Linked DNA regions of Oryctolagus cuniculus. The protein of the gene in region 1 interacts with the protein of each later gene in a biochemical or structural test. Links are inferred from orthologs where the notes say so. Each region holds a gene or a part of one and is shown on either strand. Other genes may lie near its edges.

Region 1 (4,299 bases):
TAGGCTCTGTGTAAATGAAGGAAGGATCGGGAAAATTCAGGGTACTCATCAGAGCAGCACAGCAGAAATCCCTCTGCCGGAAGCCGCCCCGTTACCCTTCCCTGCTCAGCTCAGCCCTCGGCTCCCTCCTGGACTCACCCACCATTCACACACAGGCACACATCTACATTCAGCACCTATCTTTACCACGTGAGTAGTGTGGGCACTGCACTGGTTAAGTCACAAAAGCCACACGCCTAGAACATGAAGTAGGAATTCCTAACGATGTGTGAGGATCAAGCTTCTGTCAGAGAGATGCATTTTCAAATGGCACTCATGAATGTAGATGCTCAATTAATATCCTATTTTTCTACCACTTCTAATGGGCCATAGTATGGGGATGAGGTGGGCCATATGAAACCCTACTGAAATGTCTAATAAGAGCGAAGTCTCCACACCACCACCACGTAAGCTGTGAAACTGTACCTTACATTTTTCTTTCCTCAGAAAATGATCTCCCGGTTCATTCCATAAAAGCACAGCACAGGGCATGTAATTAAGCCTCTATGGAAGTGTTCTTCCCTCTTGGGCATTCAAACCCAGGCCCTCTGACAAAGCCCCTGTGCTAAGGCACAGCTGCTGGGAAACCCAGAGCTGTCATAGTTCAGGCCAACAGAGCTGACTGCAGAGACCTTAGACGCCCTGTTCACAGCTAAACAGAAACAAATAAAGGCAGTAAACAGGGCAAAAGGAAAAGAAAACCCAGCTCTTCAAACAAGTCTCTCTTCACCACATGTTTTCTCCCCTGAATTCTGTATTTAAACACCTTCCCTTGTTCTCTCCACTTTCTTCTCAATCCCGAGAATTCAGAAAATGTTCAACCTCCAAAATGAGAATAAAATTTAAAAAAAATATATTTTTTTAAAGAACCTCACTTTCCAAGCGCAGTGTTTCCCTCCCCCGGCTTCACGGCCTCAAGCCCACCTCTTCCCCCCAGCCCGCTGCCTTCTGTTCCTTTATGAACCTGTGTACATTTGTCTAACAGGGCTTCAGAAGGAAGACACACAGCCCGGCGAGCAGAGTAGCCATTCGTAAGTACGGGTGGCCCTGTTATTTTGTTCCTGTTTGCAAAGGATCCAGTGCACGAGCAGTTGAGTCCCCAAAGACAGTTGGTTCTCCAGCAGATGGAATGCTCAAGATAAGAGAGGGAATACAGGCTTCTGCCACCCGAACTGCCCAGACCACACTCTCTCCTGTCGGAGACGCGCATTTATTATGCACACACAAACACGCAGAACACAAGTGCAGACGTCCTCCAGGCCTCTGCCGACCACAATAGCTCCGGGTGCCCTCACGCTGGCTTGTCTGTGAACCCTGGTGGCCTGATTCCGAGCATTCTCTCGGAGGTAATCATCCATAGACGCCTATTCGAGAGACGGCATTCTCTTGCTAACTTCGCGTGAAAGCAGAACGCGGGGCTGTTGATTCAGAGACCAGAGGGAAATTTTCCTTTGCAGCCCTGATGCCCAAGACACTACAATGCTGTCCGTTTCAAACAAAAGGTTTCTCTCTTTCCCCCGGAGAGGGACGGAAAGGCTGCGGTACTGTTGTGAATTCAGGCCTAGATCTGGGATGCCTCATTAGACAAAAGATACCCGTCGCTGTCAACAACCACGCCAGCCACGCTCCCCTCGCCCCGGTCCTAATCCGGAAGGAATGGTGCAGCCGAGAAGCACGCCTGCCACCATCCACTGGCCAAGAAACTCTGCTGGGCCCCTCCTGTGGGTGGCCTGGTGGCTGCAGAAGAACACTCGGGTGACACACGGGGGCTTGCCCGCCCTCCCCGCCCCCACCCCACGAACCCCTGGCTGGGGAGGGTCGACCCCTGCTGGGCTTCTAGTTTTCACCCCTGGGGATCCCACTCGCCAGTCTGCCCACCGGTGGCTCCCCCACTTCTCCTGGACCCCAGAACGCACCGATAATGGATGCACAACGGCCACCTCACGGCGCGCCATCTCCCCCCCGCCCGCCCGCGCCCTGTGCCCCGGCTCGGCTCGCCACCCTCCGGGCGACATACACACACACACACACACACACACACACAGCTCCACCACCCCTGGGGGCGCGGCGGCCCCGGCGCTGCAAGTTCAAGCCCTCAGCCCACCTTCCCAGCCCCGCGCCCCTAGCCAGATCTGATCTGCCATTGAGCAGAGACACCGCAGAGAACGCAAGCCCCCCCCACAACAAGGGACACACAAGACAGCACGCGCCGAGGCACCCAACAAGGCAGCCCCGAACCCTCCGCGCGCACGGGCGTGTGTGTGCGCGCGCGCGCGTACCCGCGCGGGTGCGGGTGGAGGCCGGGGGCGCGCCCGGGGAGGGTAGGGGCGAGCCCGGGGGCTGGGGGCGGCTGCCCGGAGGGGCCGGAGGCGGGGGCTGGGGGCGCGCAGAGGCCCGGGGGAGGGCCCGCACGGCCGGCCCGGGCCGTACTCACCCAGTAGCAGCAGTTTGAGCTCCCGGCGGGCGTCCCGCTTGTCCCTGCGGAGCTGCCGCTCGATCTCGTCGTTGATCCGCCGGGCTTCCTTGGCCTCCTCGCTCAGGCAGCACGCCATGATGGACTCCAGAGTCATTCTTCCAAAGTGCCTCCGCTGCAGCCCCGCCGGCACCCCCTGCTCACACGCGCGCACACACACACCCTCCCGCCCTCGCTCCCCCGAGGCAGCGGTGGCCGCTGAGCCCCCGCCGCCTGGGCGCGCGTCCGGGATGAGATCGCGGAACCGCCGCGGGGGCGACGGCCAGGGCCGGGGCCACCAGGTGGGCCGGGGTCTAGGCGGGCGCAGGAGGCCTTCGCCGCCCGGCGGAGCGAGGCGGGCGCGGGAGGCGGCCGCGGGCGCTGGCTCGGGGGGCGCGCAAGGGAAGGCCGCCGCGCCCGGCCTCGCTCAGACGCCCGCGCCTCCTTCCCCGGGAACGGGCAGCCCGCCTCGCCCCCCGCGCCGCCGCCGAGGCTCCCCTACGGTTTGCGCCCGGCGGCGAGAGCACATCCACCGGGGCGCCCCCCTAGCGAGCGGCCGCCGACCGCTCCCCGCACCCGGCGCGCCCGCTCCTCGCCGCCGCCTGACACGGCTCCCGGGCGCCCGCGGCCCTGCCCGCGCCCACCGCCCGGCTAAGCGCGCAAACCCCGCTCGCCGGCCCGGCCCGCCGCGCGCTCCTCCGCCTCCGCCTCCGCCTCCGCCTCCGCCAAACGCCCACCCCCGGCCCCGATTGCCAGGCGCGGAGCGGCTGCTCAGTGATCGCCCTCCCCCTCGCCACACACACACATTTTCTTCTTTCTCTGAACTGGAGCACAGATCCGGGAGGGAGGCGGCGGCGGCGGCGGCAGCGGCGGCGGCGGGAGGAGGCGGAGGAGGAGGAGGGGCAGGAGGCGGAGGCGGAGGGACGGGCGCGGGAGGCGGAGCCGCCCGGCCCCTCTTGGAAGGCTCTCCCTGGGCTCGCAGCCGCGCGCCGCGCCGCCCAGTGCGGCTCTCGCCTCGCTCGCGCAGCTCCCTGACTGGGCCGGCCCCCTCAGGCTCCGCGGGCGCCGCCCTCTCCCGCGCCCTCCGTGGAGGCCGGCGGGCTCCGGCGGACGCAGCCGCCCTCGGCTAGGGGCAGGGCCCGCTGACAGCCGCTCGGGTTGAGCGGGCGGCTGCGACCGCGGGCCGGAACCCCGGCAACCTGCGGCCGCCCGGGCGTGGTGGAGCGGGAATATGGCGGCCTCCGCCTGCCTCTCAGCCCACCAGCCCCGGAGCGCCGCCTCGGCCCCGCCTGGAAGCCGCGGGAGTCGGCCCCGAGCCCATGCACCGGCTGGCGCCGGAGACCCCCTGCCCGGCTCCCCGCTGGCAGCGCCGGAGACCCCCTGCCCGGCTCCGCGAGGCCGCTGTGCGGTGGCCTCTGTCTTTTCCCGAGGTTATTCCTCAAACGCCATTCGGTTAGAAGCTGCCTCTCGTCACTACTGACCCCAGTTGAATCTTAGAAAATACGATTCTCTCCGGGTGGGCTGTGGCCGGAGAGGAGTGGTCACTGCCTCCCCGAGGGGTAGGGGGCGAGGACCCTGCAATTCACTTGAGATAGAAATCTGAGCAGAAAAATGAAGCTGCCCAAGTTGCCGGGAGCTTCCTGGCAGGCTCCAACTTTTCATGCTGTTGAGGTGATTTTGGTTTTGGTTTTCTGTTGTTCTTGTTTCCGTTTTACAGATGCTCCTCGTTTTTGAAAAGGCACGCGATGTTTTCACAGCCAAGTCACCGAATGTACCCTGCTCCACCGAGATGGAACTTATGGGTGGCT
Region 2 (4,241 bases), on another chromosome or scaffold:
TTCAGCAGTAAGCTAAAGAAATCTTTTTCTTAATTTTCTAACATGAGCAAATTGTAAAAGCCAAATTCTTGCTGATGCCAGCAGACCACTTACTGAAGAGCATAAGGAAGAAGAGAGAGAATGAAAAAGCAAAAGCTATGTTCATGAGGGTCAAAGGTCATTTCATCATCCTTTTCCTTCATTCTTTATGGATGGGGACTTAAATTGGCATCATTGGCTATGTATGTTCACATCAGATGTGGTTTATATTTCCATATTCTTGTCCTACCAAATAATATAAGCAAACTGAAAAATATCAATTGCTCTATGATTTAGCAAATCTAGTATTTTAAACTGGAATCCTTATAAAGTCCTATAAAGTTTGGCCTTAGATGTTCTTTGGAAGTATAGCACTAAATAAATTACAAAAATTCATCTGTGAAATAGGTACATATTTTCAGATAAGATACTAGCTTTGCAAATCAGTAACCAACAGGAAAATGTAAGAAAGATATATTTTATTTATTACCTTATTTTGATCTGTCCAGTAAAAGAAAAATCCCTGAGGGTCAGTCCTCAAAATAATTGGAGTAACAATAGTGGAGTCCTAAAAATATAAGAAAACAAAACATGTATATCAACATATGCAACTGTAGAAAGATCTCCACAGGAGTTTCTTGAGAAATAATAATGGTTAAGAGTTTCTCTGAAGATTTCAACTAAAAGAAAATATTTTAAAAATTAGACACAGAATTTTTAACTTCAAAGGATTACTGAATATAACAGTAACAGTAATCAGAATATTTGTACATAACTCTAAAGGAATGGTCAGTGAGGCATTTATTGATGAAGACAAGTTTTGAAAGGCATTGACATGTTTTCTATTAAAAATCTATATTTAATTTTTAAGTGACTTTAACACTAACCATCATTGCATATTCCATATGACTACAGTTAATTAAAATTCAGGCTCAAGGATAATATTTTAAATTACATTTTCTCCATAAAATGATTTTTAATTATACTAAAGAGAATAAACATAGCATTTGGCCATTGCTGTTTCCAAGGTAACAGTAAATAAGGCCATTTTCTCCATATTGGGAAAGAGATACACAAAACTGTTGAAAATTTAAATTTCACATACTAAAATAAAACATCACAGACAGTCTTCTGCATTTAAAGTATGCCTGTTATAAAGCAAATGTTGTATGAACTGTAATTTTAATAGTAACATTAAACATTTCTTTTTTTTGTATTTGCTTTTTTTTAAGTTTTTTTTTTAACTTTTATTTAATGAATATAAATTTCCAAAGTACAGCTTATGGATTACAATGGTTTTCCCCCCCATAACTTCCCTCCCCCATAACTTCCCTCCCACCCGCAACCCTCCCATCTCCCGCTCCCTCTCCCCTTCCATTCACATCAAGAATCATTTTCAATTCTCTTTATATACAGATCAGTTTAGCATATATTAAGTAAAGATTTCAACAGTTTGCACCCACATAGAAACACAAAGTGAAAAATACTGTTTGAGTACTAGTTACAGCATTAAATCACAATGTACAGCACGTTAAGGACAGAGATCCTACATGAGGAGTAAGTAACATTAAACATTTCTAAAATATCTGGTCATGTCTTTTGGAAATTTTCAGAACGACATACCATCTACACAAGAAAATACATGTCACCAGATATAGAGTTTTATGTAGAAAAACTCAGGCCTTTGCAGGAATTGTATTTTTCAAAGAGCCATAAATTGGCTGTCCTTTTAAATGTTTTCATACATATTCTAATTATCATGTATCATATCTTCTATGTGATCAAAGAACTTGTAATAAAGAACCTGAAGAGATAATTTTGGAATTTGGTGACTTTTCTGTCTGATGGATATAATAGTATTAATTTAATCTACATGTTAAGTGTTATTAGAGGAGCCTGGTTCTAAGAGGCTGTCCTCTGGAATTCAAATTCCTAACTGTTCCCTTTTAGTGCCTCATTTTACACAACTGAAGGAAAGGGGATAATAATAAAACCTGCCCAGCAGACTTATTACAAGGCTTAAATAGAATAGTGTGGGTGAAGGACCTGGACAAATGTTTTCCACATAAACTGTTGATATAATGGATTATATTTAAAATCAAATGTATTAAGTTATAATTGAAAATATATCTTGATATGCCTTTTTACTATGGTAGAATACACATGATATAAAATTTACCAATTTGAAGTATACAGTTCATTGGTGTTAAGTACATTCACCACCAGCCTGCTCCAGAAATGTTTCATCTTCTCAACCTGAAACTTTTCAGACTTTAAACATTATCTATGGCAGAGCATTTGGCATAGTGGTTGAGATGCCACTTGGGATGCCCACATGCCTTATTGGAGTGCCTGGATTCAAGTTTCAGCTCCACTCCCAATTCTGGCTTCCTGCTAATGTGAATCCTGGGAGGCAGCAGGTGATGGTCCAGTCCATGCATCCCTATCATCTACATGGGAGACCTGGCTTTGGCCTGGCTCATCCCCCGTTATGGCAGGCATTTAGTACTAGTAGTAGTAGTACTAGTAGTAGTAGTAGAATAGTGCAACTTCTTAGCTCCCTGTCCATTTTATTTTTAAGATATATTTATTTATTTGAAAGGCAGGCAATGGAGAGAGAGGGAGAGACAGAGAGATTGTCTACCTACATGTTCATTCTCCAAATAGTCCATCAAACCAGGGCTGGACCAGGCCAAAGCCAAGAACACCAACCACATCTCCCACCTGGGTGGAAAGGATCTGAGTATTTGGGGTATCATCAGCTATTTTCCTGGGTGCACCAGCCGGAAGCTGGATAAGAAGTGGAGCAGCTGGGACTCAAATCGGCATTGTGATATGGGATGCCTATGTCACAAATGGCAACTTAATCTGTTGCCCTACAAGGCCAGCCCCTACACCATTTTACTTTCTGTGTCTGTAACTTTGATATTGTAGTTAACTCATATAAGTAGAATTATATCAGTGTCTTCCTTCATGTCTGTCTTATTTAATTTAGTATAATGTTCTCCAAGTTCATCCATATTACAGCATTATCAAATTGCCTTCATTTTAAAGACTGAATAATATCCCACTTTATGTATATACCATGTTTTATTTATCTATTCATCTGTCAGCGGGTATTTGGGTTGTTTTTGTCAATTGTGAATAATGTCATTATGAAGACAGGTGGACCAAGATCTCTTTGAGACCCTGCTTTCAATTCATTTCAGTCTACACCCAGAGGTGCGATTGCTAGATCATAGAGTAGTTCTGTGTTTAATTTTCTGAGGAATTGCCATGCTGTTTGGTTCTGATATTCTTTTTTAAAATTTTTTAAAATATTTTTTCTTTATATAAGGTGAACAAATGTCATGTATTTCATATATTTAGATTTAGGAGCATAGTGATACTTTCCACCCTACCACCACTGGAAGTTTTAGCTAAGAGAAAATGCCCAATATTCTCGACATATATTCTGAACATGTAGTTTGAGAAATATCTTTTATAAGGATTGTGCTGTTGCATGGAACTTCAACTAGTATTTTAAAATTTCAACATTACTTTTAAATTTAAATGTCAAAGGAAAGGCAGTTGGAAACAAATGTAATATCCTATTGGGAAAAAAAACAACTTTTAAACTATTTTAAGCTTCTTCTATGATATTGCATGCATAACAGTTCACAGAAATATTTCCAATAAGTCACAGCAATATTTTCAGTCCTGTTTCACTCTTCAGGGGTGAGAAAATAAAAGCTTCTGAGAGATTGCACACAGCACACATTACCACTGCCAGATGAATGAAATTAACCTGCAGGTACAACATAATTTTCAGGTCAGTTCCTTTTATTTATTGGGGATTCATCAAGATTCTAATCAAAATATTCATTGGCAATTCACTATAAGGATCTCCGAGAATCAACTATTTAAGTTAGAGTGAAGCTGCCCAAATTCATACTTTGGAACACTTTACTAGTCTGCCTCATTTGCTTCAGAAACTTCTATTCTAGGTTATTTTCTCACCTCCTTCAAATTCAAAGCTCCTTTGTTCAATATTTTCTTGACCCCACTCTTCCAACCACAGCTCCCCTGTCAAATGATCATTTACCTCAGCTCCCTGCCTGCCTCCTCCATAATCACCTCTAACACTCCAAGATCAGCTGGAACTGGCACGGTTGCCATGCAAAGCAGGATTTGACCCAGAAATACAAGAGTATTCATTTTTAATTCCCTATTTTTCCCACCTC
Region 3 (4,144 bases), on another chromosome or scaffold:
GGGGGACATACAGGTACAGCTCTTTTCCATTTTGCATTCTGTCTTCGCACTCTCTTTGCATTCTACTGGCTCCCATCTATTTTTCATCTTTCCCACCTGAACTACTTGATATCTCTGTTTCTTCTAAGTAAAGCACAGCTCCCTGTAGCTTGCGGTCAGAAATCTACCTGCTTTCAAAATGAGAGCTGTCTGGGTCAGACTTGGTATTTAATTTCCCCCTTGTACTCACAGCTTTCAGATACAAAGAAGCACTCTCTGCAGTTCTAGTGTACATGAGCTATGATTGTAAGATACGAAACACCTGCATGATTCTTTAAAATATTCAGTCTATGATATTACATGCAAAAGATACTAATAGTCTCGGTGTTCAGAAGTACCTGCAGGGCAGAATATTCTTATGCTAACCCTGAAGCCAGGTAATAGGCAAAGCAAACCATATTTTTCTGCCTGCCTGCTCTCTGGAGCATTTCTCTTTCTCTGTCTTTCCTTCTCTCCCTCCCTTTCTTCCTCTTGAAATACCAATTTAGAAGCTTAGAATTACATAAGACATGAACACAGTTGCTAACAAGAATCAGTATCTATATTTATTCATCTCCTTGCTGCCCTGGACCTCAGGCTGCTATTTGAGGCTTTTTGCAGGAGGCAAGCATGTACAGGAGAAATTGTCAGTGCTGGGCTGAATTCTGTTCTTAATAAGAATTGGAGCAAAGTATTCTACAGTCAGTTTGATGACAGATGCAGCAAATCTATTTCTCCTGGGCCAGCTTTTCTATGCTGCCAGGCATATTCCTGTCTGCCATTTAGCTATTTCTCCCCACACCTCCGTGTGTCTTGCAATGGAGAAATCATCTCTCGGAGACGATGATCCTCCCACCTGCCTTTTGGAAATCGAGCAGGTCAAATATTGGGTCACATACAATGTGATGTTTCTCATCCAAAAGAGAAAGTGTGTTGAGATTCAACCCCCAAAGTGTGCCTTAGAATTCCTACTGGCACCTTTCCGTTCCGGAGGCAATGTTGTCCCTGATACTGTTTTTACAGACAAAAGAATAAACTCCCATATTTTCCAACACTGTAGACTTTTATTTTTCCCGTCTCTAGAAGTTAAAAATCACAGACATTTGTAGAGATATTGAGTCACTTTTTTCATGTATGTCTATTTTGGAAGAGGATTTTCCCAGCTTGTCCATTTTGCATGGCTGATGCGTAAGTCCTTTCTTCCTCCTGCCTTCCAGGGGCTGGAGAGGCAGAGGAGACAGGCGCTGGTACCGCAGAGCTGTTATCTGATTGGCTCGTCGCTCGTGGCCGGGCTATAAAAGAGACCCCTACAGGCCTGGAAAGGAGAAGCTCAGGATTCTGGCAGCATCTTTGCAGGAGTGAAACCGAAGCTTGAGCAAAACAGAGGCCACAGCTCCTCCTGCTGCGTTTCTTTCCTCCTCGGCGAATCCCACGCTGTTAGACAAGATGTGCAAAGGGCTTGCAGGTCTGCCGGCTTCCTGCTTGAGGAGGTAAGATTGTTTTCAGCTACTAACTACGTTCAACTTTTGGACAGACTTTCTCAGTTACTTGCTAGTTGTGTTTACTAACCTGGTTCTTTGGAGTAGCAGTCTGATCAGGGGAGAATATTTCCCTGGATTTTCTCCAAGAATAACTTGATTTGTGACTTAAGAACTGTGCTTCCCAAATTCTGATATTAGTGTGTTGTTTCATGTGACCTCAGTTTTGAAAACTGTTGTGATCTTTTAGCCAAGTCCTCTAACTAAGCTAGTGCTGATTAAGAATCATATGAGGTGTTGACTCTACTTGCTGTATCTGTGATCACCTCCATTATGTGAGCATACCTGGATAATTGCAAGCACTGTGACTCTCTGAAATTCATTTAGGGGAGGACACCTCGGAATGAACTTGTGCTACATCATCAGAAAGCCACAATGCTTTCTGTTGGGGCTACAGTATCGTTCTATATTCTCATAAACAAATGTCACAATGAAATAGTTTCTATGCTACATGTCTCTTTTTTTCTCTGTTCTTATCTCTCATTCTTAAAGTGTCTTATGTGAGTGGTAGTTAAGGAGTATTGATTATAACAAGTCATCTGAGGGTTCTGTAGAAGAGCTCATCCTAAAGAGATTGTTTTGTCAATATAAAAACAAAGACTTAAAAATATATAGCTACTCTTCTGTCTTTTTAAATAGGCGTAAGTAGATGATTTCAGAAAATGCTAGATATTCATCAGTTGAAAGTAAAATACAAAATGAGAGCGTATTACATCACTTAATCTTGCAGCTAAAGGTAAAAAGTCAATCTGCAAGTGTACTACCTCTTTTCTTGTCTCCCTGCAAAGAACAATCACCTTACATTTCAATTTGGAGTTAATTCCAAGAAGCATAATCTTTTGTGTGTTTTGAAGCCATTTGCCTTTCATTCAGAAGCAGGACAGTATTGATATATTCTCCGTAATGAAGCAGGAGGTTCTGGTAGAGAGTACTGATGGGATAAATACCTCTCACCTTCACCATTAATTTCCTAACTGGATAGAGCAAGACCATCCACGCTTCAGTTAAATCACATATAAAATTAATCATGCAAAATGCAGAAGTGTCAGGGAAAAGTTATGCTCCAGTAAATATTTAGTGATTCATAGATGGGAGATTGTGCTAGAGGTCTGCCCTTGAGGCACTGAGCAACTGATTGAGAAGGTTAAGCTCACAGTCAGTAGGTAGCTGTTCTTCCCCTCCTCACAGGGGAAACGTCAATCATCTAGTCCAGCACTTTCTCCAGCAGTGCCCGAGCTTCCGGAGGGACTTCCCACTGCCCGGGGTGTGTGAGTGAAGATCACATCCAGTTCCTCATTCCAGTGACTTCTGAAGTGATTTTCGTTTTTATTTGTACTGTTTTATTACGTTAAAAGGATACTTTCTGTGCATACTCTCAACTCATTAGGAAATGACCCTACACTGGGCAGTCAATAGCCATGGGATCTCAAACAGAGGAGGCACATGGTAGTACGGAATAATTTCTATTTACATTGACTCACAATACACTCATGCCATCACCTTAGAACCACTCTAGGCTTCAGGAATATATCTTGCTATCATTAAGGAGAATTTCCCAATCCCTGTGCAGTCACCAGTTGAGAAAGCAGAGAAAGGCAAATAGTCATGTGAAGAAGAGAAAATACCATTTAGGGGGCAGTCCAAGGACCTAATGGAATTCAAACTTTCTTGGGAAGCCGACATAGATAAACCTTTAGTATATCAATAACCATTCTAAAATTTCTTTTTACCCTTTATTTCCCCCCTACAAGTAGGAACACTTAGCTATCCATTTCTTTTTAAAATCATTTCTCTTTTTAACTATTTTGTAGCTTTTATAGTAAGAGATACAAGCAAAAACATGGTAGTGTAAGAGAAGAGGTAAAAGCTTATCTCTGGGCCTCCTTTTTGAGCTACTGAGGAGTACTGACATAGCCTGGTCACCTATGAAATGGCAATACACCAGAAACTCTGCCCGCAATCGCAATCACTAGTTTCAGGAGTGATTCTAGATGGCTTCTTCAGTGTATAAATATTAAAAAAGAAGGCAATAGCAGCACTATATTGTCTGGAAGAACTAATCTAAAGGAACGTGGGTTTCACCCTGAGCATTTGCGTTAACCACTCCATTTCTGAAGCTACACACCTCAGTATGTACTCCATATTTACCCCATAACACATATTTCTTGTTCCATCACATATTTGGATGGAAAGAAAGAGACCCTTAATTTCCAAAGGAGCTTCTTACTCTGCCTGCAAGGAGACAGATGACAATAGCAACCAACCACCAGAAGGGGGCGTGCAGCAAAAAGGTGTCGAATTTTGCAGTTACTGCTGCTTTCTAACTCCTAAAAATTACTCAAAGAACAGTCATGTCTTCTTGTGTGGTTATATTGATGATACCAAGTGTTTCATTGTTGCACCAAAATGGCATGTGTACAGAACGGGCTTCTAAGACAGATTGAAGGGTCAGAATTCCAATTATAGATAAGTAAACCAGTGTTATGACTCTCATCTCAAGGTTGTGCATTAACTCATTGGCAGAAACAAGTGTTGCTTTCCTGAGAATTAATGCCAACTTCATCTCCTATTCCCTAAATTAACTGTCT

The links. The genes of interacting proteins can lie anywhere in the genome.
Region 2: the proteins of guanine nucleotide-binding protein G(q) subunit alpha (region 1) and PLCB1 form a complex in vitro, tested with the Homo sapiens proteins (2 studies listed by BioGRID, with this or other methods). The link is inferred for Oryctolagus cuniculus from reciprocal best matches to the Homo sapiens genes GNAQ and PLCB1.
Region 3: the proteins of guanine nucleotide-binding protein G(q) subunit alpha (region 1) and RGS4 form a complex in vitro, tested with the Homo sapiens proteins (3 studies listed by BioGRID). The link is inferred for Oryctolagus cuniculus from reciprocal best matches to the Homo sapiens genes GNAQ and RGS4.

What each region holds. Positions count from the first base shown.
Region 1 is NC_091432.1:152,216,739-152,221,037, reverse strand, and holds the start of guanine nucleotide-binding protein G(q) subunit alpha, read right to left. Parts: upstream 2,801-4,299; 5' UTR 2,610-2,800; coding exon 2,474-2,609; intron 1-2,473. Other genes in the region: uncharacterized protein, read left to right, coding at 3,723-3,943, 4,209-4,299.
Region 2 is NC_091442.1:33,006,022-33,010,262, reverse strand, and holds the start of PLCB1 (1-phosphatidylinositol 4,5-bisphosphate phosphodiesterase beta-1), read right to left. Parts: upstream 2,801-4,241; 5' UTR 2,778-2,800; coding exon 2,667-2,777; intron 587-2,666; coding exon 509-586; intron 1-508.
Region 3 is NC_091438.1:35,611,581-35,615,724, reverse strand, and holds the start of RGS4 (regulator of G-protein signaling 4), read left to right. Parts: upstream 1-1,344; 5' UTR 1,345-1,464; coding exon 1,465-1,508; intron 1,509-4,144. UniProt on the Homo sapiens protein: Inhibits signal transduction by increasing the GTPase activity of G protein alpha subunits thereby driving them into their inactive GDP-bound form. Activity on G(z)-alpha is inhibited by phosphorylation of the G-protein.